2 linked regions of the Tribolium castaneum genome follow. The protein of the gene in region 1 purifies or fractionates together with the protein of each later gene. This does not show direct contact. Links are inferred from orthologs where the notes say so. Each region holds a gene or a part of one and is shown in the gene's direction. Other genes may lie near its edges. The genes, in order: Csk and Pax.

Region 1 (15,650 bases):
TTACAGGGTTTCTTACGTGTAATTTAAGATTAAAAAGCATGATTTGCTCTCTTTATGTTACGAAAATTATGAGTATTACATTATGACTCATTGCGCACAATCTTAATTGTTTTGTGATAGTGGTAAGTGATAAGGAAGCAATTTTAATGCAAATTACGAATTAATTTCAAACAAATTCGCCCGAATAACAAGCGATGTTTACTTATTCTTGTTTAATTATTATATAACTTTGGTTTATATTGATTTTTAAATAAAGATATACTTTTTTAATTATGTCATATCTGATGCCTATTTATTCGTTATCTTATCATCAACGATTTACCATATTTGTGGTAAACAGTCCACTCGTAAGTTTTGTGTAGAATAATAGGGTTGAACCGGCACGTAAAAATGCGTGAAATTGTGCATCTTCAAGTGGGTCAATGCGGGAACCAAATTGGTTCACGGGTACGTACCCTGGCTAAATATAGGAATTACGTAATAATCCGATAATAAATTATCTAGTTTTGGCATACGATATCGAAAGAACATGGCATTAACCCTGTTGGAAAATACGTGGGCGACAATGATCTCCAATTGGAGCGAATTGAAGTGTACTTTAACGAAGCGGAAAACGCGAATTACGTCCCTAGGGCGGTGCTGGTGGATCTAGAACCCGGTACCATGGACATGGTGCGCGCCGGGCCTCTCGGTACCCTCTTCAACCCAAACAACTTCGTTTTCGCTCAGTCGGGTGCCGGGAACAACTGGGCCACCGGTCACTACACCGAAGGCGCCGAAATTTGCGACAACGTCTTGGACGTGATCCAACACGAGGTTGAGAGATGCGATTGCTTCCAAGGGTTCCAGTTCACGCACTCTCTAGGTGGTGGTACCGGCTCCGGTTTTGGCACTTTGCTCACTTCGAAGGTGCGTGAGGAGTACCCTGACCGAATGGTGACAAGTTTCAGCGTGGTGCCATCACCGAAAGTCTCGGAAGTGGTTCTGGAGCCCTACAATGCGACCTTGTCCGTTCAGCAACTGATCGAAAACACCGATCAGACGCAGTGCATTGACAATGAAGCCCTCTACGACATTTGCTTCAACACTTTGAAGAAATCGTCACCGAAGTACGACGATTTGAACCATTTGATTTCCTTGACAATGGCGGGGGTCACCACTTGTTTCCGGTTCCCGGGTCAGTTGAACGCTGACTTGAGGAAACTGTCGGTAAATATGGTACCGTTTCCTCGGCTACACTTCTTCGTCCCCGGATTTGCGCCGCTGACGGCTCCGGGAAGTGTCGCTTACCGGAAATTAAGCGTCAAAGACTTGACTGAACAGATGTTCAGTCCCCGGAATATCATGGCAGCTTGTAATCCGGCAAACGGGCGATATTTGACCGTCGCTACCATCTTCCGAGGACCCGTTTCAATGAAAGAGGTAGACCATGTCATGTTTGAAACACAACAGAAAAACTCGGCCTATTTCGTCGAGTGGATCCCACATAACATCCAAACGGCGGTTTGTGACATATCGTCGCCACACGCCCCCATTTCGTCAACTTTCATTGCAAACACCACAGCCATTCAAGAATTATTTAAACGCATACAGGAACAGTTCTCAGCTATGTTCAGACGCAAGGCCTATGTGCATTGGTATCAGGCTGAAGGCATGGATTTGCAAGAATTCACAGAGGCTGAAAGCAATTTGAATGACTTAATTTCCGAATATCAGCAGTATCAGGTTAGTGTTCCAGGAATCCATCTAATCTATACTTATATCAGCTTGCCATGATTTCGAAAAGTTGTTTCAAGGACTTGTAAAATAAATATTCAGCCTGATTCCTATAATTGTAAGAGGCCTGTGCATGTGTGCACTCAAAAGTTACAAACTAATCAGTAACTTATTAATGTTATAAATCACTTTTGCTTAGAAAAAAAAATTATCGATCAAGAGGTGGGGTAAATATAATCCTAATCTATCCTAATCACCTAAAATGTTGCAATTCTAAATGACACAATAGCAATATTTATGACGTTTTTGAGTATTCACATTATTTTTAAATGATTTAAGTATAATAGTAATAACAATAATAATAATAAATAGTCTTTATTATAGGCAAAGTTTAGTCAAAGCTATTGCAATTTAACCTGATGGCAACTGATATTTTTTACGGTTTTTGATTGTATACTTGTTTACCTCTCTGGTTAGTTTCAAAAATTCAAAAGAAATAAAATAAATAAAATAAAACAAAAAAGTTCTTGTGAACTTTACACCAGAAATATTGCTTTCTAGAAAAAGGTAATTTTTTCCAAGCATAAAGATTTTGGTTTCGCTTTATTAAAGTCTCTTCAGAGGCTGTTTTTACAAGAATTGTTAATTAAAATCAAGAAAAATTTTTTGAAAAATGCCCTACATCAAGGACATGAATTTTGTGGATTAAGTATTTTTGGTTCTGTCTGTATTCCGGATTCCAATTTGCACATAAAATTATGTGAACACCTGTAGATATTGATTTTTGTTCTCAGGATGCGGAAGTTGATGAGGAGTATGGGGATGAAGACGAAACAGAAGAGGACAAATTTGAAGAAGAAACATGATTTCAATACATTGTCAATTTGTTAAAAAAAAGAAATAAAGACAAATAGAGTTTGTAATTATTGTATTTTGTACCCCTCTCTAGTTTAAAGTTGCGCACGCCTAGAATGAGTCTCAGTGCGTTTGCGCATTGTCCTCTCCCAATCACTTCATCTTTGTTTATTTCTTTCTCGCTTCGGGTGTGCAGATATATGGAAGCATCATGAAGGTGAGTTTACGGAAAAAGCTCAAATTTGTTCAATTTTTTGCAAAAATATGAACACTGATCCCTTGCGGGATGAATAAGAGGCCATCTCCGGTTAAATTGTCTCTTGGCAACTGGACGATGGTCGAGATAATCGTCGCTATTTGCGTGTTGCTACACGTAGCCTGACCTAACCTCTATCATGTAGCAATTTGTTTTTGCAGCTGAACGTGTCCTATCCTGCGACAGGATGTCAGAAGCTGTTCGAAGTCGTCGACGAACACAAAATCCGTATTTTCTATGAAAAGCGGATGGGACAGGAAGTCGAGGCTGACCCCTTGGGAGACGAATGGAAGGGCTACGTTCTTAGAATATCGGGCGGGAACGACAAGCAAGGGTTCCCGATGAAGCAGGGTGTTCTCACGAACAGTGAGTGGCTCCGCAAGTGGTTGATTTTGTTTAAAGTTGTGTTTTAAGGCCGCGTTCGCCTTCTCCTCTCAAAGGGCCACTCCTGCTACAGACCCCGGCGTGACGGTGAAAGGAAACGCAAGTCAGTTAGAGGGTGCATCGTCGACGGCAACTTGAGTGTGCTTGCCCTCGTTATCGTGCGTAAAGGCGAACAGGTGCGTTGGTTTTCGAGCAGCTTGCAGTTTACAAACACCCAATTGTGCAAAGTTGTGTGTGACTTGAAACTGCTAGAGCATTGTAGTCACTTACCACACGCCAATTTCGTCAAATTGGCGTGGAATTGTCACTCGCACATTTTTTTTTCTACGGCTAGTTGGACATTGTCATTGACTATGTTACAGGAAATCCCTGGATTGACTGACACCACAGTCCCGCGGCGTTTGGGACCCAAAAGAGCATCAAATATTAGAAAACTTTTCAATTTGAGCAAAGAAGACGACGTCCGTCAGTATGTGGTGAAGCGCCCCTTGCCCCAGAAAGAGGGCAAGAAGCAGCGCTTCAAGGCACCCAAAATCCAGCGCTTGATCACACCAGTTGTCTTGCAGGTAATTTAGTGACATCGCAAAATCCACACTCAGGCAGTTTCTTAGTGTTTTGCCAAACTAAAGAAGCGTTCATGTGTGTGGTACACCAATTTTGTGATATCACTCCGACAGTAGGTTTTTATTGTCAATGATGTTGCAAATACAGTTTTTGTTTTTTTTAAGTGAATTTGTTGTAATTTGTTTTGTTCTCCAGCGCAAGCGTCATAGGCTGGCTCTGAAGAAGAAGCGTTGCTTGAGGCGCAAGGAGCAGTCAGACAATTACGCTAAATTATTAGCCCAGCGTAAGAAGGAATCAAAGGCCAAGAAGGAAGAAATGAAGAGGCGCAGATCTGCCAGTCTTCGCGACAGCAAATCTAGCAGTCACAGTGCGCAAAAATAAAGTTTTATAAATGACTTTTCAGGAATAAAATTGGTTGACGCTAAATTGTGTTTTTTTCTCATTTTTTGACAGATTGACGCAAGTTCTAGAGCTGATTAAACGACTCTTGTTTAATCAGTGTGATAACCTTGCAAGAAAATCATAGTTTCTTACCCTAAGGTAATTCACAGGTGAATTACTTTTCTACTGAACTATAACATTTGTCCCAGTGTTTAATGGTGAGTTGGTTTTATTTTATTAGTATCTTAAGTCACGAAATGATGAATTCATGTTTTTGTCTTCTTTTCCCGACTGAATATTTTGATGTCAAAAAATTACTGAGTAGTTGTTTTCGTAAATCACACCAAATGTTATTTAATTGGTATTACAGTTTGTTTTCTTTTTCAGGCTGTTGTGGCAGTTGGGATTTATTCAGGTAATTTTACTTTCATGTATTTTTTTGTAATTTCATTCAATGATGATTTATTTTTTGTCTTCTTTTCCCGACTGAGAACCTTGATGTTACAAAATGTACTGAAAATGTTTTTGACTCACATTTAATGCTTTATCAATCCGCTTGTATCTGAAATGTTTTTGTTTGTTTCAGGTACTTCCCCGGTGATACATAAATTACAATGTATTCCTGGTGTAGTAATTTTAATATAATAAAGTCACAACAAATATTAAGCTCGTTTTTTATTTTACCACCCTTAAAAAAATAAAAAAAATATATTTATACTGTTCAGTATTTCCTGGCATTGCCATCATGTGAAAACAAATACTATACATATTTTTTCTCTTCTCAAACATTATTTTTTATCAGTAAAAAAAGATCATAAAGTGTATGTGTACTGTTTAAAATACAGTGGAACTTGGTTATAACTAAAAAAATTGAAAGACCCATTTTAAGTCCTATATTATAGTAACAAATTGGTTCGGTTTTAACGAACACTCGCTTTTGACATTTTTTAGACAAAAAAGATTGTACGACTCGGTTGTAACTTATAGCGTACGCACGTGCACTTTTGTTTCATTCTAGGAAACATTAAGCATTTCCGATATTGTAGAAAGATCCCAAAAGTGATACATATTTTAAAAACAGCTAAATTGTTAAAGGCAAACAAAAATAGGTAAGTAAACAAAATATTTGCACTATTATTTTACGTATACTTATGTAAATAATTAATTATCTATTTTTCTAAAAAAAATACATAAATATTTTGTTTTCTTTATCAATTTCAAACATTAAAACTTATTTAACTTAAAATTATCCTATTAGGCGACGATCGGTTGTAATATAACGAACAAACTCTGAAGTTTTTTGGGTTCGTTATAACCGAGTTCTACTGTATTTAGCTCAGCAAATAGCTGTAATAATACTTATGGCGTTTTATAGCAGTATGTCTTTCTAAGAAAATCTTATTTAAATACCTAGCAATTAGATTATTTTACTTAGAAAAGACCTTTCCATTCGAATTCTCTGAGCGGTGTATAGTTTGTTGCCTATGCGCCACTTTCTCTTCGATGGGCCCTGCTTTATCGACATTTTCCAAACCAAAATGGCTGTTGTTGGTTAGAGATTGACATTTTAATGTATGTTTTTGAAATTTAAACCCAGTTTGCTCATAAAAAATAAATCAGCGATGCTTCCAAACGCTCCAGTCGAAGTGTTTTAAAAAACTTGGTGAGTTTCTGGAGTGGCTTGTTGTTTAGTTCGGTGAATTTGGTAAAAATGCAACTTAATGGGTCAGTGATTTATATTAATACATTTGGCAATATTTTGGCAAAATTTTGGTTTGTGTTGAATTGCGAAGGGCGTTAGCGAACCGGCTGCGTCTTTTGCGCAGTGAAACCCAAAATTTCGTGGCCAAATTGCAAATTTTGATAGAAATGTATTATTCATTTCCGTTATTTATTATCACCGAAATAAAATGAGCGTGAAGGGGCTAGGAAAGTGGCTATTAATGCTTTCGTTTCAGTGAGTATGTGTTGAGTCGAAGTGGTTGATTCTTGAGTGATGACCAGCCAAAACTCGCCATTTCCTCAGGTGCGTCATTTAAACCCATCGCGTATTGAATACGTAAATCAGGTTGGGTCGTTGCAGAGGTATCAGCACATTTTCGACTACAGTCAACAAACGGACGGTCAATGGGACCCCATGACCACCTCACACCCACCCACAGTTCCTGCCAGGGGCATCAAGAGGAGCACCCCTAGCGAAGCGTTCCGTCCACATGATGACCCTTCCTGGGTGAGTGGACCGCTAGTTCCCACACTTTCAGGCCAGGTTCCCATCATTCAGCCCGAGAAAGTTGACGCGGTTTTGCGGCGATTTTCAAACTGATGCGCAAATCCGACAGACCGTCGCATTGTTGAGGACAGTGTCTATCGTAAATAACACAGGGAAATTAACATGACATAACGCAGCCTTGAAATCATTATGTCATTACAATTCCATATTATTACGCTCAACTTATTAATTACTCCGCTAATTTGAATAAAATTCTAAAGTGCGCCCGATTTTACAGTTTTAATTTGATGCAGTAGTCGCTTCATTCTAATTTATTCAAATGAATTCGCGACGAGTCATTTATTCGTGATGGAAGAGCGAAGTATTTTTTCAGATGGCGTCCCAAGAAGTGGCGTCACAAATGGACAACAGTATCAAGCACGAATGTCTGAGATCCCCGAATAACATGAACATTAGTTCAGATTGCAACAATTTCAAAAATGTGCGCCATGACGTCAACGTTAACCATGTCCCCAGTTTAATGCGACCGAATTCGAAATTCAGTACAACACCGTAAGTTCGTCCGTACATGCTTTCCCCCCAATAACACTTGCCACAGGAGTTGGTTTCACGGCAACATTTCGCGCGAGAACGCCGAAAATTTGCTGTCAGCGCGCACCGATGGGCTGTTTCTCGTGCGGGAATCAACGAATTTCCCGGGCGATTACACTCTGTGTGTCTGCTACGACAACAAAGTCGAGCATTACAGAGTGAAGTCGAACGGAGGTAAATTAACAATCGACGACGAGGAGTTTTTTGATAATCTCGAAGACATGATCGAACATTACAAAAACGACGCCGACGGTCTCTGTACGAAGTTAGTGAAAGCGTTGTGCAACGAAAAGTCGAAGGAAAACGACGACTTGTGCGTCATCTCTGAACAGGAGCTCGAGGTAAGTCCGTCCAATGACTGGGCGCGGTTTCGGTCACGTGTCTCTCTTGAAGATCTGCGAGCCAATCGGCAAGGGCGAGTTTTGCGAGGTGATGCTGGGTAAGTGGAAGAAGAACAAGGTGGCGGTGAAGGTGCTGAAGGACTCGAGCGAGGCAGAGGCAATTTTAATGAAATCGCTCCACCACGAGAATTTGGTTAATTTGTTAGGCATTGTGCGGAAGAAAGATCAGATTTATTTGGTGACGGAGTATATGAGTAAAGGCAGTCTAGTTGATTATTTGCGGTCGAGGGGGCGTTTGCACGTCACGAAGAAGGACCAGATCAACTTTGCGTTTGACACAAGCTCGGGTATGGAGTATTTGGAGAAAATGCATGTGGTGCACAGGGATTTAGCTGCGAGGAATGTTCTCATCGCCGAAAACGGCGTAGCGAAAGTGTCCGATTTTGGGTTGGCGCGGAATGAGATGAATCCCATGTCGGAGTCGGCGAAGTTGCCGATCAAATGGACGGCTCCCGAGGCTTTGAAGCGAAATGTAAAACACTATTCTGGTCATTTCGCCGTACATTTTCTGCTTTCAGATATTTTCGAACAAGTCGGACATGTGGAGCTTCGGGATTCTCTTATGGGAGATTTACTCCTTCGGTAGAGTTCCGTACCCGAGAATAGTAAGTCACTCTTCTGTTTTCATTTATTTTTGATGGAAAACAATGCTTAAGTTAAAAAACATATAGAAGATTCAAATGAATTATTTTACATAAATTAAACATACATGTTGAAAGAAAAGACATGAAAACAAAGAAATAAGATAAGAACAAAATCCCACCCAATAAACAAAATATATAATAAATATAAATATATAACAGAGCCCGTGCTCTTCGTAAATAAGTAATTTTTGGTTTATAATGAATAAAATTGACCTTTTTTTGAGCGTAAAATTGTCCTTTGTGTTTCTTTTATTTTCAACAAAATTATAGTTATGTATATTGATACCGTTAATATTAAAAATATTTAGCGATTAGCGACCGCTTAGTTAAATAACGAAATAATTGTAAATTACTATTTCAGCCTCTTGCGGACGTGGTGAAGCACGTGGAGAAGGGATACAAGATGGAGGCTCCGGAAGGCTGTCCGTCGGAAGTTTACGAAATTATGAGACAGGTAATTTTGCCGTCTTATGGTTTATATGAATAAAATTGATTGTTCAAGGCGTGGGATCTGAATCCGGACAAAAGACCGACGTTTCAAGACGTGAAGGCGAAACTTGCACAATTGAAGCAACAGACTTCCTGATTTAGCTCTAGTGTATATTATAGATAGATGTATGCGTGTGAGTGGATGTGAATGCACTTTGTGTGATCCATAATGTAATTTCACTTTTATTGCAATTATTATTCTAATCATTACTTTAGATTTTTTATTTTAACTGTACAATTATTTCTCTGAATGTGGTGTGTCTGACTAGAAAATTGTTGATTTATTTCCGTACTCTTTTTGTACACAGTTGATATTTATTTTCTCAAATCATGTAAATTTGACGTACTTAAATTGAATAGTGTTCAAGTCAGCGGAATCAAAAGTAACGTCGATTTGTTTTGCTTTGTTTAGGTGTAAGCGTACTCTGATCGGTCAAGTCCAAATGTAATTATTTTGTAAATGTTTTTGTTTTATAACTTTTCTAAATTGAAAATATATTATTTTTACGTTATTGTTTAGTTTTTAACAATTGGAGACTATCTTTGTAGTTTAGCGTTGGCTAAAAAGGCTCAGATTTTTTTGTAAATTTCCGAACGATTTATGTGTAAGTTACAATGAGATGCATACGACAACAATCATTAAATAAAAAGTGATTAAGAATTGAACGACTTTTTCATTGGGGTGGCAGTAAAGAAGGCGGGTTGGTCAAACATGTTTATTAGTACAAATGTAGGAATAAAAAATCACAAACCATCTGAATAACACAACATTGCCGTAGTCAATAAATACAAATTAAGATTCAACTATGAACAACTTCAAAGATAGCCAAATGAATGAAATGAAAGGAAGAGTAACTCAAGAACCATAACAACAAAAAGTGTCCCTCTAACAGTGAAACACAGATGGTGTTAAACGCGAATTGAAATTTTCATACATCTTTCAATTCTGCAGGCACTTCACTCTTGGGATGCTTATTCTCAAAGTGTTGTTTGTAAGTTTTGGGGTCAGGCATTTGGGCCTGAAATCACACTGCAATCGAGGGAAAAAACGGGGCTATTTCCTTACCTTACAAACGGTACAAACGTACACTAAAGCCTTCTGGGCCGCCTTCTTCTGGTCAGTAGCACTGTGGCCTTGCTGCTTTTTGGCCTTAGCAGCCTTTTCCTGTGCTTTGGCTTGTGATTGCAACTTCTGCTGTCCTCTTGCCATTGTTTAATAATAGAAGTAATAGAACATTCACCTCTGAGATAAAAGTTGATGCTCTGTGAAAGGATTCTAAGTACAGTTATTCTGTATGAGGGAAATATGACTACTAACCTAAAAGTGGAAATGTGGTGATCAAACTGCCGACTAGTGCCAACGAAACTTAACTTTATTCGCAATATTGCTCACATATATGGAGAATTACTTCAAGTTTTCTTCAAATTGCTGGGAATATCTTCCGGAACTTTTTTATTTTCGAATTGACAGCTGCAATGCAGCGTCAACTTGATTCGGGACGAAAGGGAAGTAAGTATCGAAGTTCGCGAAAATCGATGTTTTTTTTCAACATCGAAAAATACATCGAAATTTAATGTTTATACGAAATAAAGCTGTTTTTACATTCAACCTTGTAAAAAAAATTACATAAACAAAAATTAGAAATATTACGTTACATCTTAAATTTAAAACAAGATTTTTAAACATAATTTTACGCATGTGGAATGCAACCAGCAATACACAAAACGAATCAATATTGATAATAAATTAATAATAATTAGTTTTATTTATTAATGAGATAATAAATTGCTGCAAGTTAAAAAAACAAAAAACTTGTCTAATTTTTTGATTACAACTTTGCTTTTAAGTTTTTTGAGGTAAGTACTTGAAAAAATTACAAGTGGGTGGATTTTTAAGTTCCAGTCGCTTTAATTTTTTGAGAAACAAATTTTAGGCAAAGCATTTTGCAAATTTATTTAGCAGTATTTACTATTTGTAACTAAATCAACGAAGAAACCAATTTAGTATGTTTCATTTCATGTTTTTTGATTAGTCCAAAAATAAATTAAAAAAAACTAATAACCTAATCGATGTATATACAAATAATTGACACATTTTTGTGAATACGGCTTATTTATCTTTTTAGGTTTATTTGAGCAGAATTTAGAAGGGCGAGCGCATGCCAGTAGGTACTCTAATCTTTTTTTTTTTTTTTTTTGATTAATTTTGTCTGAAATAATTTAATTTTTTTGTCTATAAATCCAAAAACAAAAAAAAATATTTTAAAAATTTATTTATTTTAATTATTATACATGTAATTATTAATTTCTTTATACCGACAGCGTTGATTTCAATTAGTTGTGTAAAAATCTTACTTTTAAGACTCTTAGTTTTTGTGTAACAAATTAAAAAAAAGTGTCAAAAAATTTTTTCCAAAAATTAAATCGACCATTTTATTCGCACCTAAGGCGAAATCCCGTTCTGTGAGAAAAACCAGCCCTACAACCAGTTCTAACTACACTGGTGTCTCATTTGTCCCAGAAATGAGTAAATGACCAATAAAAATTTAAAGATCACCTCCTACTTGTTTATCTGGTGCACAAAAAACTGCTAGACGATTGAAGCGTTTGTCATTGGATATGGGAGGGATATTGCACTCCCAACTGTAAAACAGACCAATCACAAGGCGATTAGAACTGAGCAATAAACTGTTGTTTGATTATTTTGTAAATGTCGGCTAATGTAACTAAGGGCACAGCACGGGTAGTGGGGTAACTAGAGCAGCAAGCAAAATTTAACTTCCTTTATACTATATTTGATTAGATAATAATAAATAGATAAAATTAATATAACAATAATAATATTAATAATAATAATAAACATTACAAATGAATTAATAAAAAAATAGATACGTTGTTTCTAAATATTTTGCCTGGATCTTAGTCCTTCTTGAATTTGTAGCAACGGCGGAAGCTGCAGCGGGCCTTCCTCTGTTGTTTTTGCTCGTCGATGGCAAGCTGAAACTGGACGAAATCATCCAAAAGGACCATGAAGTCCGCAGTTCTGTTGTACACATCTTCGCGAATAAACTTCTCATTGTAGAATCGATGAAAAGCAGCAACGGCACAAGCTTCTCTCAGATCGTGGTCCTTTTTACATACCTGGTAGATTTTCGAATTTGCAACAGCGAGGCTGAGGAGCTTGTAAGCGCCTTCCTCTCTGGAAAAAAATTGAAAATTGTAATAAAAGCTTTTGCATTTTTGACTTACTTACTTTAAAAGCACCATCAGACGATTACGGATTATTCTGGACTCGCTGACAAAATATTTAGAAAACAACAACCCCATCACAAAATTATTAACAACGCTCGAACAACGACTCTATGCAAACTGTAACTCACACGCCTTGTGGAAGGCTTTTATTGATAAGTTATGAAAAGCATTTAATCGAAGCAAATGCCAATGATTATTCCAGGAAGATAGGTAATGAGTAAGAACCATATAAATTTTTTGAATGTTTGAATTTTGGGCTCTACATTTTTTCTGTTATTTTTTTTAATTTGGGCACTCGTCGGTTCCGATAGTATAATCTCGGCGACGCCTATTTAGGCGACGCTTATTTAGGCGTCCCTTATTTAGGCGACGCTTATTTACCCAAAAAATCACTATGTCTGTAGATAACTGCGAATTCTTGCGATAATTTATAATTGCCATAATCATCATTCGAAGCTGAAAAATTTTGCAGATTTTTGCACGCTGAATGCACTGATAATTTGTTTTATATCTGCATTGCTAATGCCAAAGTCATTAGATTATTATCAGAGGAGGCACCCTTAGATCAACCTTGTTTACTGTAATAAGTTTTTTAAATAATATAAATAGATTGGTATCAGATGATTTTTAGTCCAATTATGTGTACTACCACGTTACTTTATACGTTATTTATTAAACAAAGTTGATAAAATCCCCAAAAAGGTTCAAAAATTTACAGATTACAAAAATTTTATTTCTCTGCAACTTTTTTTAATTACAGCTTAGACTGAATCTAATATTAATGTTTTTGGCAAATCAATTTGCTTCTCCTACACTAGCCGTTACTAGATAATCCTTTAACACGTTGTTTTTTGGATTATATTAAAAAATATATTTATTTCCAAATTTTGATTCCAAACCGTAAACTTAGTTTGTTTGTCTGAAAAGCTCTATTAAGAAGTTATTAACTCAAAAACCTTAAGGTCTATTGTCCATTTTGTAAAAACGTGCTTATATTTTAAAGAAGTACCTAAAATTGTCAAATTTTATATAATTTACCGCATGATGGTGAAAATCTCAACGCACAATTTCGTAAACTTGTAATTTAAGTAGCTTTTTTTGTCTTTTTTTTTTAATCTATTACTGCTGTTAGATGCGTTCTGGTTTGCTTTTTAAGTGAACCAAATTTCAAAATTGTTGGTTGAATAGTTAATTTACGAGAAGGACATATATTTAAAAAAACACGGTTTTTAGAATTGTTGATCGACCAAGAAAAAGCCAAATTAAACGAGGCTTACCAAGGGTTGAGAACAGATTTATTATTACGAACTGTTATAATAAGATGTCTTAAGCAAGTCTTCCAAACTCATTATTTTTTCTCTGTTTTGTTTGTTATACTAACTCTTGTACAAAAGTATTATGTTTTTAAAAATGCAATAAAAAGCATAATTTTGGTCTCACTGCAAGATTTACTAAATACTGCATGAAATAAATATAGAATAGGTAAAGTTTTTGCAGTTTAATAATATTAATATTAAAAATAAATAAATAAATAAATAAAAACTATAATTATTACTAATTAGTTTGCAAACTTGAGTTAAAATCTTTTCCCGTACCGATCATTCTACATCGAACCAAGCAAGTGAACAACATGAATAAAATAGAACATATCTGTATTTATGTTCCAATATAAAAAAATTACGAAAATATAGGAGCCAGTGTCTTTGATTTTCAACGTTTTATTTGAATGATTAAAATTTTGTGGGAAAAAATTCGTGGTTTTCGAGAACAATGTTTTTTTTAAACGACAAGTACGAGAATGGGGCCTTGGTCACCTAAAAGCATTAAACTAATTTTGTATTTCTATAAGGGCCTGTTTATAAAAAGATCCAAACATTGTTAAAAGTTTAATGAACCAACCAAATTGCTTCAATTTTGTCACGTGATCAGTTAATCACGCATTTGTGGATTGAATGAATGAATTAATTCTATAAACCGAGCTTAATTGTAATATCAATATAATAATAATATAATTTATTTACGAAATAAATTTTAATTCTAATTTGTAAAATCAGTGTCGGATAGGCTTGACAAATTAATTGAATAATAATATTATTTTAATAATAATTTTTATATTACAATAATTCTTTATCAATATTAGAAAAAAGTCTGCTGTGTACTTGGCAATATCGAAAAATTATGCTCTAATGCAATAGCAGGTATAATTTGAAACCAGTGTTTTTTACATAATTATTTTTATATAATTTTTCGACATTGACCAAAGTGGTTGTATCCATGGATGTAATTATTCGAGTAATTCGTAATTTGGCAAATTTTTTGGAAATAAAACCATCTATGGATACAACCACTTCGGCCCAGTTCGAAAAATCTTCGTAGCGCGCTCGGAACACAACTTTCATAATTTATTTAAAAAAAATAGTGGTTTAAAAGCAATATTAAATCAGAACTCATTTTTAGAAAATAATCTTTTACCAAAAAAATGCAGTAGTAGGGTGTCATTTAAAATATATTTTTGGTAATAACTCGGAAACTAAAAAGAATTTTGAAAAAAATATTCTTGGAGATTGATTACATTTTTAAGGTTCTTGTCTTGATGATGTACTGATTAGTTTTTTCGTAAAATATTGTTTAGGCACAAACGCTTTTGCCTGTCTCTGTATAAGGTGATGCATATTTACGATTTTAATTACGTCATAGATTTGGGGAAAATTGAGAGAAGGTCTGGACGTTTATTAAATTGGATTAAGAGAGGGCCACTTCTTGAGTACATCCATCACCGTTTATTGCAGTAATTACAAAAACATACAATATACAATTTATAAGTTTACTTTACAAAAACGTATCCTATCAACATAGCATATATCTATCTATATATTATAATAACATGACTATGACGTATATAATCACATCCTGATTTAATATCCGTTGTTATAATACTATAGGTACATTTATTTACTGAGTATTTGACAGAACACTAAAATTTCACTAAATTAAATTAAATATTCTGTAAATAATATGTTACAAAGCCGTTTACAAGTATAAAATAGCACTCATAGTATAAATTTGCTGTAAAAAGTCTATAAACAGTAGTGGCAGTATCGAATAGACATAGTGGTGTTAAATAATGAAATTTACAAAGTCTTTCAATTGGAAAATGTCCAGTTATGTACACAATATTAGTCCCATTCTCCGATATACATGGTACGCGACTGACTTGGAATATACGCCCTCGTGGGTATGGGTAACCGTCCGTAAATTTGGTTGTAGGGCGACTCGACTACATCCGAGTCTACGGACAAAAATTAGCCAATTACCTCACCCAGCCTCACACTCACCGATTCCGCTCTCAAAACTCCTCGTATGCCACATTGAATGCTGGTGCATGTTATGATGCGAGTTGACGTGTTGCTGGTGCATCACAGGAAGGGGCGGCGGCGCCTGCTGACTTATCGAAAATCTCTTCGACGAAACGGACTCCTTCGCTTTCGACTTCGCCACAAAATTCGGAACACGGGCCCTTAATCCGCAGTAATAAGGGTCGTCTGGAAAGACACATGCAGTCCAAACAACCAACACGGTGCCAACATACCGTATTTTTTGCTGTCTTTCGACTTCTCCTTCCCCCGAGAGGACGGGAACGGCTTCAGACGGCTGTTGTCGTGCTCGTGGTCGTCATAATCGGGCTGCACAAAAAATTTCAAACTGAAACTTTCTCCCAGAAGAAAGGATCATGCACATACGCTCGTTTCGTAATTGCGGCATTTTTAACAAATAATTAGATTGGTTAGTAGACCGTGAGCCGTTACAAAAAAATATTTAACGTGGGCTTTAAATTTCTAATTGCGACAAATACGGTGAAAATTTGGCGCGTGTGACGTATTTGTGGC
Region 2 (14,971 bases), on another chromosome or scaffold:
GAAAAGAATAAACCTTTCTAAAAAGCTAATACATTAAATAATTTCTCATCTAATTTGATTATGTGATTAATTATTAATTTGACACTATAAAATATCGTTGATCTTACAAAAATAAAAACACGAAATCATGCGTTCAGCATGATTCAGTGATGACATTATTTATGAGCGTGATTGTCCATTGTCTTGTAGGCGATAACATAAAATACTGAAGTACTACAACTGGTGAATATTTTTTAAAGAGTATTTTTCTAGTTTTATAGTTTTCTGGTAAATTTATTAGTAATATTATACTTGTTTATCTTTATAATTTTTCCTGTCACGTTATCGACATAAAATGTTGTTCTTATTTTTTACGTTGTTAAACAAGACCACGAATTTTTAATTTCCACTGTTTAATTTTGATACTGTCAAAGTCTTTAATAGTTAAAGCCTGTCTGATTAATTTTTTTAGGATTATTTTCATACATAAGATTTTTTTGTCCCATCCGTCATGTATGTAAACAAAGAGTAAATTAATCAGAAGTAGTTACACATTGCTTTGTTCTTCGGTTTCGTGCTTTCAAAAGTTCCACCTTTTACTTCAAAAATAATTACTGGAAGTGTCTTTTAAATTAGCAGAATTTTATAACGATTGTAAAAAAATAAGAATGAGGTTTTTTTTTATGTTCCGTCTGTCATTAATTCGTATTTTTTTCCTGCTCGTATTTCAGATTTTACAAATGTGGCTCCACTTGTAGATTGCAAACAGTTTGACTGGTACTAAGTTCCTATAAAGAGAAATTCACTTCTACTGATTCTGTTCATAAAAATGGAAAATAAAATTTAAAAAATTTTCTGTCTGTTACCATGAGATGGTAAAGAGGACACTGCCATTATTGCTATGTTAAAAAGCAGTAAATGAAAGAAAATAAGTTGTGCCAATATTTTTTCAAATACACTTGCAACATGTCTGTTAATTGATTATTAATCATTAATTTTAAAGAATGTGTTTAAGTGTGTCGTGATTATACTATCCATATATTTTTTCTATTTAATAATTTTTACACACATGTTTTTGTACCAAAAATCTAGTATTTTTCAAATTATAAAAAGAAAAATATGGGTTCCAATTTGAATTAAGAAATTTGAATATAACCAAAATACACTATGACATTTAGAAAATTTTTAAAAATCACTTTGTATAAATATTTATTCACTTCTAGCCTGTAGGCTAGCTTCGAATTAGAAGCATAGTAATGTATTTATTACATTTATTCGAGCATCTACCAGATTTTCTAAATTCATTGTGGATAAAACAGTGTAAAATTGTTAAATGGCGTAAAATTACTAATTTCTCTAAGCATCTTCTCGTCAAAAAGCGCGTGAAAATAATATCCAACAGCCTCAGTTTATGAAATCCGTCTTCAAATGTCTAATACACATAGGACATTAATTTAATTCGCAATTAAATGCGTGAATAACTGATCACATGACCAAATTTGATTGGTCTATTTGCGTTGTTAACTTTTAACAACGAATTAAATTTTAAACAAGCGGATGGACCAATCACATTTGTTCAATTTGGTCACGTGATCAATTAATTGCGGATTAACTTAATGACGCTTCTATAAACCGACCCATACAGATTTTATTATGTATTTGAAAAAATAACTTTCTTTAGTATTTGCATCCTACAAACTCTATCCTGATTGTGCTTTTTATCGTTTTCCTGATTGACTTATTTAAAATGATTTCCTCTGGTTTTTCCTGATTTCCTCAATTTGTACACCGCTTTCCTCTGCGGTTTTTCTGGTTGTTTAGGACAGGCCTGTTTAGATGTATTAGCAGTTGTATGTTTGGTTAAGTGGCCGAGATACACACGTCTTGTATATTTATATAAAATTAAAGTTAATCTGAAGCGAATATAACTCGCCGAAAATACATTCCGGACAACATACCCTGAATTTAGAAATTTCTAATTGTGATTTCAGGGTACTTATGGCAAGACCCAACCGACTTCTGGAGCCCGCACTCCGGGGTACGGGTACGGTTCCGGGCCCGGAGCCGGCGAGAAACGCACTTTTAATAACAATCTGTCCGAGCTCGATACGCTCTTGCAGGACTTGAGCAATTCGCGTTATGGCAACATTTCCGGTAAGATTCCAGTTTGGTTCAACTTCTTGGTTTACTGGGCTGTTTTTGCAGAAAATGGAATGAATGGAACTTTGAACGGAAGTACTTACAACGGCTCGGGCGGCTTGAGCCCCCATTCGCGTCCCTCGAGCGCCCAAAGTACTTTGAACAGACGCACAGTCGATAGTCTTTTGGAGGAATTAAATCCCGGGTGAGTAAGAATTGTTTCTCTTGGCTTAAAATCAGGTTTATATCACCGGGACCATTAACGCTGTAATGCGACCTATATTTTTTATTTGGGAAAATTTATGGTTTTGTAGATTTGTTAACGCAAGTCACCGGGTTTGACCTACTGCTATTTTAGTACAGATTTGATTAATGCCTTCAGGTGTTTTTTATCTGATTGTGAATAGCTTTGCTGTTTTTTTAAACCAGGTGTTTATCTAAATTTAACAAACAACTTTATTGAGAGTTTTGTGCCAAATGAAGGATTTGTTTTTGACTATTAGTGCGCTTACAGAAATAGAAATCCACAACTTGATCGTTGTTATGTACACGTAGGTGGGAGTGTTCGTCTGTAATTACTTCAACTAGGTTTTAAGTGTAAATTCAAACCTACAATGATAAATAAATTGCGCGACGTGAAAAATGTCATGCGAGGCTTGGCGGACAATTGTTAAAGCGTTTCAAGATGTTTGTCGTTTGTAACATTGCTTGTCAACCAGTGGCGTTACAAAAAATAGTAATTATTGTAAAAACTAGATATTTTTTATTTGATGTGGTGGTAGAAAAAATATGTGTAAAGTATAAATGAGATTAAATACCTGCGAATCACGCGCTGAAAATACTACATTTCCTGTAGTATTTATACAAATAATGAGATAAATAGTTAGTGTTGGCACTTCCAAATCCAATTAGAGAAATATTTTTAGATAAAAATATATTTAAGACCAACAAATCGTTTCTTTCATAATTGAGAAACAAATGACTTACGAAGGACGTTCTTGTTTGTTCTATCCAACATTGTTTAAACAAATATAATTTTTATGGATTTTTATTTAAAAAATATTTCAAAATTATCGACATTACACAGGTTTGAATATTTGTTTTTTTACCAGTTTCTTATTTTGTAAGCTGATCAAAGTTCGTAATAAATATCTGTAAAAAATGTAGTACAAAATACAGTTGGTTTGTTTCAAGAATTTTTTAATTATTGCTGCTTTATTTTGTTGTCTGTTATTTTCTTTAACTGTTCTTACATTAGATGGTAGAGAAAAACTGATTTGTGTTTTTGGAGTCAACACAATTAATATCTAAATATTAGTGATAAAGCCATAGAGTAGAAGAAAAATTTGCCTCTTATTTCTAAGGTGATGTTAAGATTAAATACAGTCTTGTGTTGTATGGGGTCCTGCCGGCTTCTGAATTGTTTCTATCAACGAATAACCAAAAGTTTCATTGTAATTATCAAGAAATGACCAAATATTACTTTAAATTAAATGTAACTGGACAGTAGTAACAGTGGTGTCCAAGTAATATCATTCAAAGTGAATTGAATCCAAAGTACCGGACATTTAAAATTTATAATTTCCGATTTTGCAAAGTTTATTTTAAACCCAAATAACTCGAAAACGGTATATTTTAGCGAAGTACAACAAGAGTATCTTTTTTTAAGAAAAATGAATAGGCTTTCAATCTTTGGTATCAAAAATATGTATTAATGGGCTGAAAAAACAAGTTATGGTTAAAAAACTGCGGGGAATCCATTACAACCAGAAATGTACAACTTTTGTATAACTTCCGTTTACATCACATTAAAGAGCGTCTTTTATTAGTCTTAGGGCCGGTTGATAGAAAGCTTGAATAAATTTCAGTTTGTTGTTAAAAGTTAACAACGCGAATAGACCAATCAAATTGGTTCAATGTGGTCACGTGATCAGTTAATCACGCATTTAATTGCAGATTAAATTAATGACGCTTTTATAAACCGGTCCTTACATTATTGCCAAGTTTTATAATAATCAGACAATCAATAACGAAAGTATTTTCCAAAAATCATTCAAAAAGTTGTAATTTTTCTATTAATTGAGATAGGCCAACAAAAACCTTCCAATTTATTATCATTTGTAGAGGGATATTTGTGGTTAAAATTATGCCACATCATTTTAAATCATAGTCTAGAAAGCTTCATTAAATTTTAATTCGTTGTTAAAAGTTAACAAAGCAAATCGACCAATCACATTTGTTCAATTTCGTCACGTGCTCAGTTAAGCACGCATTTAATTGGGGGTTAAATTAATGACGCTTTTATAAACCGGTTCCTAGTTAACATTAGTTTTTCAGAAAATGTTTTTTTTTAATTTGCTTTTCGAGCATGTATTTATTTTTATTCGTATAACAAACTGAAAATAGCAACAAATTAAATTTGCTAAGGAAAAACATTCTAAAAATTAAAAAGTTGCTTAAAAACCTGATATCATTTTTATGCTTAGTCGAACTTCTATTATCAGCATTTTAAAGGTTGGTCCGACACTTTTAAATCACCTTGTATTCGTGTATTCGGTTCTAAGACCTAGTAAGAAAAATCCTTTACTTGTGGGTAGAATTGGTAGATATATAATAGAGGGCCTAAAAATGCCCTATCAAAGGTTTTACTTAAATCTAAAATTTCAGGAGTTTTAGTGACATTATTTGTTAACTATTAACTTAAATTTATTAACAAAAAATTATATAATAATATGGCTAATTAGATGAATAAATAAAATTAGTTAAGACCAAATATTTTGGAAACATGGGACTGAAATTATTATTACCATTAATAAAAAGAAAGATAAACTCCTTTGTGCAAAATTATCAATATTTTTTATATTGTTATTTATTTATTTATTTATTTTGATATCACTTTCTTCCACAAACAGCATCACTCTATGATTATGTTTAGATCTTGCAAAGTAAGAACTGAAATTTACGTTTACTGATCGACTCATTCTAAGGCACAGAAAGTATTTCAGAATTTGGAATTCGCTGGTGTGTCTAATTTTCTGTAGTTGGGACACGCTTTTAAAAGAAGGAACAGTGCTAAATTTTTACCTAATTTGAACTAATATTACCTAAATTATCCTTGATTTTATTTTTTTAAACCGCACTGTACTATTTTTGTTTTGGTAACGTAAAGCACGTTTGCATTAGCCATGGCTAAATACAAATTAACTAAACACTAGAGAATAGCTTCGTGATTTGAGGTCAAACAAAACAGCTGTCGCTCTGAAATTTGTCAAAAGATGTTTGTCGACTGTTTTATTGAAATAAAATGCTGACAATTTATCTTTTTTTCTCAATTAGAATATAACGTTAAATTTTTTATATTTCTATAAAGTGTACTAGTCCCATTTATGGCTCTACTGATAGTGTAATCATGTCCCAAACAAAATTTGTAAATTGTCAACGGTCACAAAAGGAATATTAATTTACTTTTACAGACTTATCCAAGAACTAGTGACTCGTTGTGCTTGATTTGCTCCCTGTTAGCTTACTTTGCATATTTTCTTTTAAATTGCGCATTGTCTTTGAGACAATGATTGCGCCACTGTTCATAAGTCATGCGGTTAGTATCATCTTTTCCTAATGTAAATGTCAGTCACGTTGATAACTAAACAATTTCCAGTGAAGTGATTTATGCTGGTCCGAAAAAAGTGACCATCACTGTGAAAGAAACAAAAACCGAGACGGGTTATCCCGGTGAAACCGAACTGATTTCATCCCACATCAGCACGTCTACGGCCCCTGCAGCCTCAACGGCCACCCGAGAGCTCGACGATTTGATGGCGAGTCTGTCCGGCATCAAGGTACGTGTTAATTAAATGAATGGTTGTTAAAAATACGCCAAAAGCAATTAAAAATAACCGAAAAGAATAAAATCGTGCGTGTCGCGTGGGCGCATCTTTTTCGAACCGTGATGTAAGTAGAATAATAATAACAAAGCGGTCCGTATGCTAGCGAAGAAACACTGTGACATAATAAGAATCCCGCCACAGTTCCACAAAAATAGCCCGGTTTTCGGGAATGTCGCGGGAGAGGGGGGCGTGAAAATTTACTTGGTCGTGAAAAGCGCGCGGTTGTTCAGTTTCCCCCGAGCACCATCTCCGACGGTTGGTCCCACCGCCTCCAAAGCGCTCCTGACCGTTCTGTTCGCAGGTGAACCAGGGCCAGCCCCAGCACCAGACGGTCACCGACTCGCAGTACGCGCGCCCCACGAAAGCGACGCAGTCCCACAGCGCCCCCAAGCAGAACTTGGACTCTATGCTCGGCAACCTCCAGGCGGACATGAGCCGACAAGGGGTCAACACCAGCCAGAAGGGCTGCTGCAGCGCCTGCGACAAGCCCATCGTCGGGCAGGTCATCACCGCGCTGGGCAAGACCTGGCACCCGGAGCACTTCACCTGCGCCCACTGCACCCAGGAGCTGGGCACGCGGAACTTCTTCGAGCGCGACGGGAAGCCCTATTGCGAGCCGGACTACCACAACCTTTTCAGTCCGCGCTGCGCCTACTGCAACGGGCCTATTTTGGATGTAGGTCGGCGCGGCTGAAGCAGCACTTTCTGACCGCTCTATTTACAGAAATGCGTGACCGCGCTGGAAAAGACGTGGCACATGGAACACTTCTTCTGCGCGCAATGCGGCAAGCAGTTCGGGGAAGAAGGGTTCCATGAGCGCGAAGGGAAGCCCTACTGTAGGGACGATTACTTCGACATGTTCGCCCCCAAGTGCGGGGCGTGCAATAGGGCCATCATGGAGAACTACATCTCGGCGCTGAACGCGCAATGGCACCCCGATTGCTTTGTGTGCAGGGTAAGTATCGACGGCCCCGACGCAAAGCGCAAAAATGAGCCAGGAGAGTAGGTATTAAAGTTGAAACCATAGGATTGCAAGTTGCCGGTGCAAGGGAAGTCGTTTTATGCGGTTGAAGGCAAACCGGTGTGTCCAGCATGCATCGGGCGGGAGGACGAAGAAGACGAATAAATATGCTAGCCACCCCTAATAAAGTCTAACCCTGTCCCGTAAATAAGAGCAAAGTCTTGTATATTTGTATTATATTGAGATAATAAAGATTTAATAAAAAAGAAAACACAAAAATACACACACAAATAGAATCAGGGCGATTTTCTGCGCGCTCAGAGCGCTGCGTTGTCGCCCAGGTGAGGCCTAGCGGCCGTTTTATAAATTGTGTGTTTATTGGGTCAGTTGCTACGTCTTTGTACATCATATTTAAGCCAGGATTATTTATAGGTCGGGTACCTACACGAAAATATAGGACAAATTTATGAAACTTGTCTCTGTCTCGTTCTATTTAATGGGTTTTGTTGCACCACGTTTCTGGCCTTGATTTGTAGCAACTAGACGAGCCAAAATCATTGTAATTTTTCTCTGCGTTATTTATTTCATTCGATTTGCTAATTTCGTTTCGATTTAATGGCGACGGGAAACAAGACAGCTCAATTAATGGCAGGCGTAATCAATTTTTATTATTGTTCTGTGGTGACGGAAAGATAAATTAATTTGAGAAAGTGGGAAGAAATTAGATGAACATGTCTCTCAATGGTTTAGAAGTAGGGATTTTTGCACACATTAACGTGAAATGATTTACTAAGTGAAACAAAGAATAGAAAAAAAAGTTTACATTTGTCTTGAGTGAATTAGGTGGAAAAAAAGGACAATAATTAAAAATAAAACACTTTTAAAGTTTCGGAGTTTGGAAAAAGTTTCTGCGTTTCTTCTTCTTTCACTAAGTGCTTCAGTAGGGTTTTCACCAACTATGGCCAATAGTAATTAAATTAACCTTTTTTCTACCACTGATTGACATGCCCTTATTTATTTTAAAGTATTAAAGAGTTATGAAAAATGTAATATCCAGTCGCGAATGGCAAAATTATGGAATTATTATTAAATTAATTATTATTATTTATTATTAAAACCTGTTGCAATTGAAAATTTGTTTGCTATGTCAGAAATGCCGGAACAGCTTTAAATTTTCTTTTTAAAAATACTCCATTCTTAACTTGATTTAAATTTCCAATTTTTGAATTTTATTTGAAAGCCTCTATGGGCTAATATTCTGCAAATCTTCTACATTTTGTGGTCTGATTAAAAGAAAAGCATGAGACTGAACAAATATTTAATTGATTTGTCACAAAAAATACTATCAACAAAAAGAATTAAGGTTTTGTTTAAAACATACTTGCCTGAGTTTTGGGCAAAATTAAAATAATTAATTTTATTAATAACTAAAATTTAGGTTTCTTTTTCATAGATTTTATTCTACAAATGGTTTTACCATTTCGGCAATTGAAGGGCTTAGTGAGTGAAGGGGCTATGTAAATTTTTTTATTATTTTTTTTACAAATTCGAACTATTTTAATAATGTTTAATTGAAATATGCTTAACGCATTCGTATTTTTCGCTAAAATTGCAAGTTAGTTGTTGCTAAAGGGCTATGTACTAAGTATTATAAAATTTAATTGTGGTTGAGGGAGTATGTCCATTTAATTTGGAATTACATGATATAAAACTTATTTTTTTTGTTGGTAATATATTTAGCTTTTTTTTTAATATCTGAATCCTTGATTATAATCACTATTTTAAATACACTATTTTTAAAATTAAAATGTTTCAACAAAAAAAATAACACTCATGCGAAAACGCTTAAAGTTCTCAGTTGTCTGGGTATGCAACTCGCATACGCTCGTTGCATAACCATAGCCCTCGAACTTTAAGCTTGTGTTTTCGCACTCGTATTATTAATAACTATAAAAGTACCTACTATTCATTGCTTATTAGTTGACTTACGAACATATTTGTTTAGTATAAAAGTAAACTAACCTTTTGTATTTTTTTTAATAAAAATGGATCTTGCTCAAAATCTATAGATAAAACAGTGATGTACAAATTTAAGTTAATTCTAACTGGAACTGGCTATTTTTTTGTTTAACAAATATATATTTAATAATATTCTAATTTAGTACACTCTCGCTAACATAACTGCAAACCTAAAGCAATTTTTAGAAATGAAACTTTGAAAGCACGTAGCGTAAAAATTTTTTTAAGGCACATGACCTTTCATTTTTTAACCCTTTCAGTTTTAACATCCCTATTGAAATGGCTAAAAAATCGGGGGTTTCTATTTTAAAAAAATGACGATGACATCATTTTCAATAACCAAAAGATAAGAAATTTATTTTAAGTTGCGAATGATGTACAATTGAGTGCAAAAAAATTCTGAAATTGTGGCATTTATTAATAGGTAAATTACCTGAAAAAAGTCAATTTACGTTTTTTTGCATTCGAGTGTGAATGAATTTTTCTCAAAACGAAATAGTTTTCCAGCGCACTGTATCTTTACAATATGATTTCTTACGGTCTAGTTCGTATCGTTTTCAAGGATTTTTTCCTCGTCTTACACCAAGAAATATTTTTACGAATACTAATTGTATCATGTTTTGTTTTTCCAGGACTGTCGCCAGCCGTTTATAGGTGGCTCCTTCTTCGACCACGAAGGTCAGCCGTACTGCGAGACCCATTACCACTTGAAACGTGGTTCGCTGTGTGCCGGTTGCCATAAACCGATTTCCGGCCGTTGCATCACAGCCATGTTTAGGAAATTTCATCCGGAGCATTTCGTTTGTGCATTTTGTCTCAAGCAGCTAAATAAGGGCACTTTCAAGGAACAGAATGATAAGCCATATTGTCATACGTGTTTCGATAAACTTTTCGGCTAATTGAATTCTTCATCTTCTTAATTGTCTCTTAAGTTTCATCAAAAACCAACTTGTATTTATATCTAAATGTTAGTTAGACTTATGAGTCAAGTAGGTTTGCTTAATCCATTAATGACTTATTATTACGAACAGAAATCTTTTAATTCCATACTGTTTTTTCTTATTTTTTTTTCTTTTCAGAACACGTATGATGCACTCGTTGTATTTTGCATTTCAATAATTAATTACAAGTTGCCATTTTATTTTTTATACTTTTATTAATTTTAATCAAGGTTGTTAATTCGTACTGTAATTATTTTGTAACAAAAACTAATTTTAAATATAATTATTATATATTTAACGTGTGAAATAAAGTGGATCATCTAGTGAGCCATGTGGTTTTGTCTTACCCCCATAGTTTACAAAGAATACTCGTAAAAAATTTAAAAAAGTCTACAACTGCGGTATTCGTTGCTTCATTAACTGTTTAAAAGAAGATTGATACAAAGGATCATTGTGAGTAAGATAAAAAAATGTTTTTCCCCGGATTCATACTAGTTGGGGGAAAAGATTCCAAGGTTGGCAATGCGATTGGTGATTATTATTATTACCATTATTATTAAAAACCGATTATAACTTTCGTATAGTAAACAAAAACAAATACATTTTAAATTGTAAATGATAAATATTATTATTTGATAACTACCAGCACAGGCACAGAAAAATAATTAAACTTACTATGGGGTGGGGCAAAAGGGGAAATGGCTAAATAGTTCGTGCACTCAAGCTGAGAGGTCGCGTCAAACACAAATTTAAAGGAATCTGTCGCACATTTTGCTGAAAGTAAAAGAAAAAGAGGTTCACTAAAAATAACCTACGTGCCCATACTTTTATTAAAAATTTAAAATTCAAATGATTACATGGTAGTTGTAATTCCCTAATTTTCGGTTATAGTTATGTATATCAGATTTCTCGCTTTTTATTTAAATAATTTTAGCACACTTGAGTTTGAGTGCAATCGAGATTACTCAAAAATTACTCAAATTTCAAAACTTATCAAGAACTTTAACATCAAACGTGTTAGGGCCCCTTTTACAAACGTCTGATAGCTTTATCCCCGCGAATAAATTTCGAAAAATACGTTGTTGAACAAAAACACTAAAAACTTATCGGGAGTCTGTTCATCTGAGAATTGTAAAATTTAGCCTTAGGGGCTTAAAAATTGGACTAATGTCAAAGGTTACTATCAAAATTTTGATATTTTTTTGTTTTTCTGAACAGTGTGTAGACAAGTAATTGAACCAACAAATCTGATGTATTTATACAGACTGATCCCGAAATACTGTGTCTGTCAGCAATCTGAATTTAAATTTTAAAGGATACCAATAGTGTACACTTCCAGTTAACAATTTAATAATTTAATCTGATGCCAATATACTCAGTTTTTATGGATCATTGTGTATGTTTGGACAATGTATTTACATAGATTACTACATCTGAAGTATCTTTTTGAAGAACAATTCAAGTTAAATTAATTTTGCCTATACATTCCAGCACGTTATTATTTTTTAATAAATTTTTATTGGAAAGAAATGTTTTTGTGCTATTGCAACTGTTACAAATGCTTTTTTATTAAAATGTCTCGTAACAGTGCATGAGTACAGAAACATTTAACATTTATAATCTTTTAAATTTGGAAAATAAATAAAATGTCCTGTTTGAATTTCCCGCTATTATCGAGTTAGTTCGTTCTCTCAGGATTAGGTAGCGCTTTCGCGAAAAACGAGAGATAGAGAGATTCGCCTATGTTGCTGTTTTCACCCAGGCATCCCGAACTGATATAGCCAAATCGAGCCCTCACTGAATTAGGTTTTACTGATGATGCGGATAGATGGCCTTAGTGTTTTACAGGAAAAAGAAATCCTATTGGCGGATTTAAAATTTCAGATTATTGAAGAAAAACGTGGTGCCGATGCGCGGCTGACAAGTAAAAATTTCACAAACGTCACAAATTTCACAAATTTGAGTTTTATGAAATTATTAGTTTGTGAAATAAATAAATACGACACAGCAATAAAATACACCTACCTTCATATCGCTTCCACGTTGGCTACCGTTTGTGGCATTAAAAAAAATAATAATAAAAATGAAACCAAAAAAAATGTTTATTTGCATTAAATTTTCAGCAAGCCACTTTCATTCATTGAAATTAAAGGCAAAATTACGTGGCAATAAATTATTTGAGTGTTTTATTTTATTTATAGTTACTGTATTTAAAATGTGTCACTCAAAATATCACTTTTCAATACTGCATTTAAAGATTTTAATTGCAATTAAGTTTTATGAAATTATTGGTTTTTTGAAATAAATAAATACGACACAGCAATAAAATACACCTACCTTCATATCGCTTCCACGTTGGCTACCGTTTGTAGCATTAAAAAAAATAATAATAAAAATGAAACCAAAAAAAAATAATAATAAAAATGAAACCAAAAAAAATGTTTATTTGCATTAAATTTTCAGCAAGCCACTTTCATTCATTGAAATTAAAGGCAAAATTACGTGGCAATAAATTATTTGAGTGTTTTATTTTATTTATAGTTACTGTATTTAAAATGTGTCACTCAAAATATCACTTTTCAATACTGCATTTAAAGATTTTAATTGCAATTAAGTTTTATGAAATTATTGGTTTTTTGAAATAAATAAATACGACACAGCAATAAAATACACCTACCTTCATATCGCTTCCACGTTGGCTACCGTTTGTAGCATTAAAAAAAATAATAATAAAAATGAAACCAAAAAAAAATAATAATAAAAATGAAACCAAAAAAAATGTTTATTTGCATTAAATTTTCAGCAAGCCACTTTCATTCATTGAAATTAAAGGTAAAATTGCGTGTCAATAAATTATTTGAGTGTTTTATTTTATTTATAGTTACTGTATTTAAAATGTGTCACTCAAAATATCACTTTTCAATACCGCATTTAAAGATTTTAATTGCAATTAAGTTTTATGAAATTATTGGTTTTTTGAAATAAATAAATACGACACAGCAATAAAATACACCTACCTTCATATCGCTTCCACGTTGGCTACCGTTTGTAGCATTAAAAAAAATAATAATAAAAATGAAACCAAAAAAAAATAATAATAAAAATGAAACCAAAAAAAATGTTTATTTGCATTAAATTTTCAGCAAGCCACTTTCATTCATTGAAATTAAAGGTAAAATTGCGTGTCAATAAATTATTTGAGTGTTTTATTTTATTTATAGTTACTGTATTTAAAATGTGTCACTCAAAATATCACTTTTCAATACCGCATTTAAAGATTTTAATTGCAATTAAGTTTTATGAAATTATTGGTTTTTTGAAATAAATAAATACGACACAGCAATAAAATACACCTACCTTCATATCGCTTCCACGTTGGCTACCGTTTGTAGCATTAAAAAAAATATTAATAAAAATGAAACCAAAAAAAAATAATAATAATAAAAATGAAACCAAAAAAAAATGTTTATTTGCATTAAATTTTGAGCAAGCCACTTTCATTCATTGAAATTAAAGGCAAAATTACGTGGCAATAAATTATTTTAGTGTTTTATTTTATTTATAGTTACTGTATTTAAAATGTGTCACTCAAAATATCACTTTACAATACCGCATTTAAATTATTATTATGAAATTATTGGTTTGTGAAATAAATAAATACGACACAGCAATAAAATACACCTACCTTCATATCGCTTCCACGTTGGCTACCGTTTGTAGCATTAAAAAAAATAATAAAAATGAAACCAAAAAAAAATAATAATAAAAATGGAACCAAAAAAAATGTTTATTTGCATTAAATTTTGAGCAAGCCACTTTCATTCATTGAAATTAAAGGCAAAATTACGTGGCAATAAATTATTTGAGTGTTTTATTTTATTTATAGTTACTGTATTTAAAATGTGTCACTCAAAATATCACTTTACAATACCGCATTTAAATTATTATTATGAAATTATTGGTTTGTGAAATAAATAAATACGACACAGCAATAAAATACACCTACCTTCATATCGCTTCCACGTTGGCTACCGTTTGTAGCATTAAAAAAAATAATAAAAATGAAACCAAAAAAAAATAATAATAAAAATGGAACCAAAAAAAATGTTTATTTGCATTAAATTTTGAGCAAGCCACTTTCATTCATTGAAATTAAAGGCAAAATTTCGTGGCAATAAATTATTTGAGTGGTTTATTTTATTGATAGTTACTGTATTTAAAATGTGTCACTCAAAATATCACTTTTCAATACCGCATTTAAAGATTTTAATTGCAATTAAGTTTTATGAAATTATAAAGATTTTAATTGCATTTAAGGTTTATAAAATTATTGGTTTGTGAAATAAATAAATATGACACAGCAATAAAATACACCTACCTTCATATCGCTTCCACGTTGGCTACCGTTTGTAGCATTAAAAAAAATAATAACAATAAAAATGAAATAAAAAAAAATGTTTATTTGCATTAAATTTTGAGCAAGCCACTTTCATTCATTGAAATTAAAGGCAAAATTACGTGGCAATAAATTATTTTAGTGTTTTATTTTATTTATAGTTACTGTATTTAAAATGTGTCACTCAAAATATCACTATTCAACACCGAATTTAAAGATTTTAATTGCAATTAAGTTTTATGAAATTATTGGTTTGTGAAATAAATAAATACGACATAGCAATAAAATACACCTACCTTCATATCGCTTCCACGTTGGCTACCGTTTGTAGCATTAAAAAAAATAATAATAAAAATGAAACCAAAAAAAAATAATAATAAAAATGAAACCAAAAAAAATGTTTATTTGCATTAAATTTTGAGCAAGCCACTTTCATTCATTGAAATTAAAGGCAAAATTACGTGGCAATAAATTATTTTAGTGTTTTATTTTATTTATAGTTACTGTATTTAAAATGTGTCACTCAAAATATCACTATTCAACACCGAATTTAAAGATTTTAATTGCAATTAAGTTTTATGAAATTATTGGTTTGTGAAATAAATAAATACGACATAGCAATAAAATACACCTACCTTCATATCGCTTC

Evidence for each region.
Region 2: the proteins of Csk (region 1) and Pax purify together in Homo sapiens (affinity purification with mass spectrometry; 4 studies listed by BioGRID and IntAct, with this or other methods). This does not show direct contact. The link is inferred for Tribolium castaneum from reciprocal best matches to the Homo sapiens genes CSK and PXN.

The regions. Positions count from the first base shown.
Region 1 is NC_087403.1:6,761,129-6,776,778, reverse strand, and holds Csk (tyrosine-protein kinase CSK), read left to right. Parts: upstream 1-5,686; 5' UTR 5,687-5,819; intron 5,820-6,114; 5' UTR 6,115-6,152; coding exon 6,153-6,182; intron 6,183-6,224; coding exon 6,225-6,386; intron 6,387-6,759; coding exon 6,760-6,938; intron 6,939-6,984; coding exon 6,985-7,318; intron 7,319-7,370; coding exon 7,371-7,850; intron 7,851-7,896; coding exon 7,897-7,983; intron 7,984-8,383; coding exon 8,384-8,476; intron 8,477-8,524; coding exon 8,525-8,608; 3' UTR 8,609-9,177; downstream 9,178-15,650. Other genes in the region: tubulin beta chain, read left to right, coding at 391-447, 505-1,725, 2,511-2,582; RpS6 (ribosomal protein S6), read left to right, coding at 2,783-2,788, 2,989-3,193, 3,242-3,387, 3,574-3,777, 3,971-4,156; zinc finger protein 706, read right to left, coding at 9,441-9,530, 9,578-9,721; uncharacterized protein exp, read right to left, coding at 14,940-15,052, 15,099-15,305, 15,353-15,446. UniProt on the Homo sapiens protein: Non-receptor tyrosine-protein kinase that plays an important role in the regulation of cell growth, differentiation, migration and immune response.
Region 2 is NC_087395.1:17,986,712-18,001,682, forward strand, and holds the end of Pax (paxillin), read left to right. Parts: intron 1-1,970; coding exon 1,971-2,133; intron 2,134-2,184; coding exon 2,185-2,323; intron 2,324-5,776; coding exon 5,777-5,957; intron 5,958-6,103; exon of another isoform or gene 6,104-6,260; intron 6,261-6,306; coding exon 6,307-6,681; intron 6,682-6,729; coding exon 6,730-6,960; intron 6,961-7,032; coding exon of another isoform or gene 7,033-7,131; exon of another isoform or gene 7,132-7,357; intron 7,358-9,617; coding exon 9,618-9,884; 3' UTR 9,885-10,253; downstream 10,254-14,971. UniProt on the Homo sapiens protein: Cytoskeletal protein involved in actin-membrane attachment at sites of cell adhesion to the extracellular matrix (focal adhesion). Recruits other proteins such as TRIM15 to focal adhesion.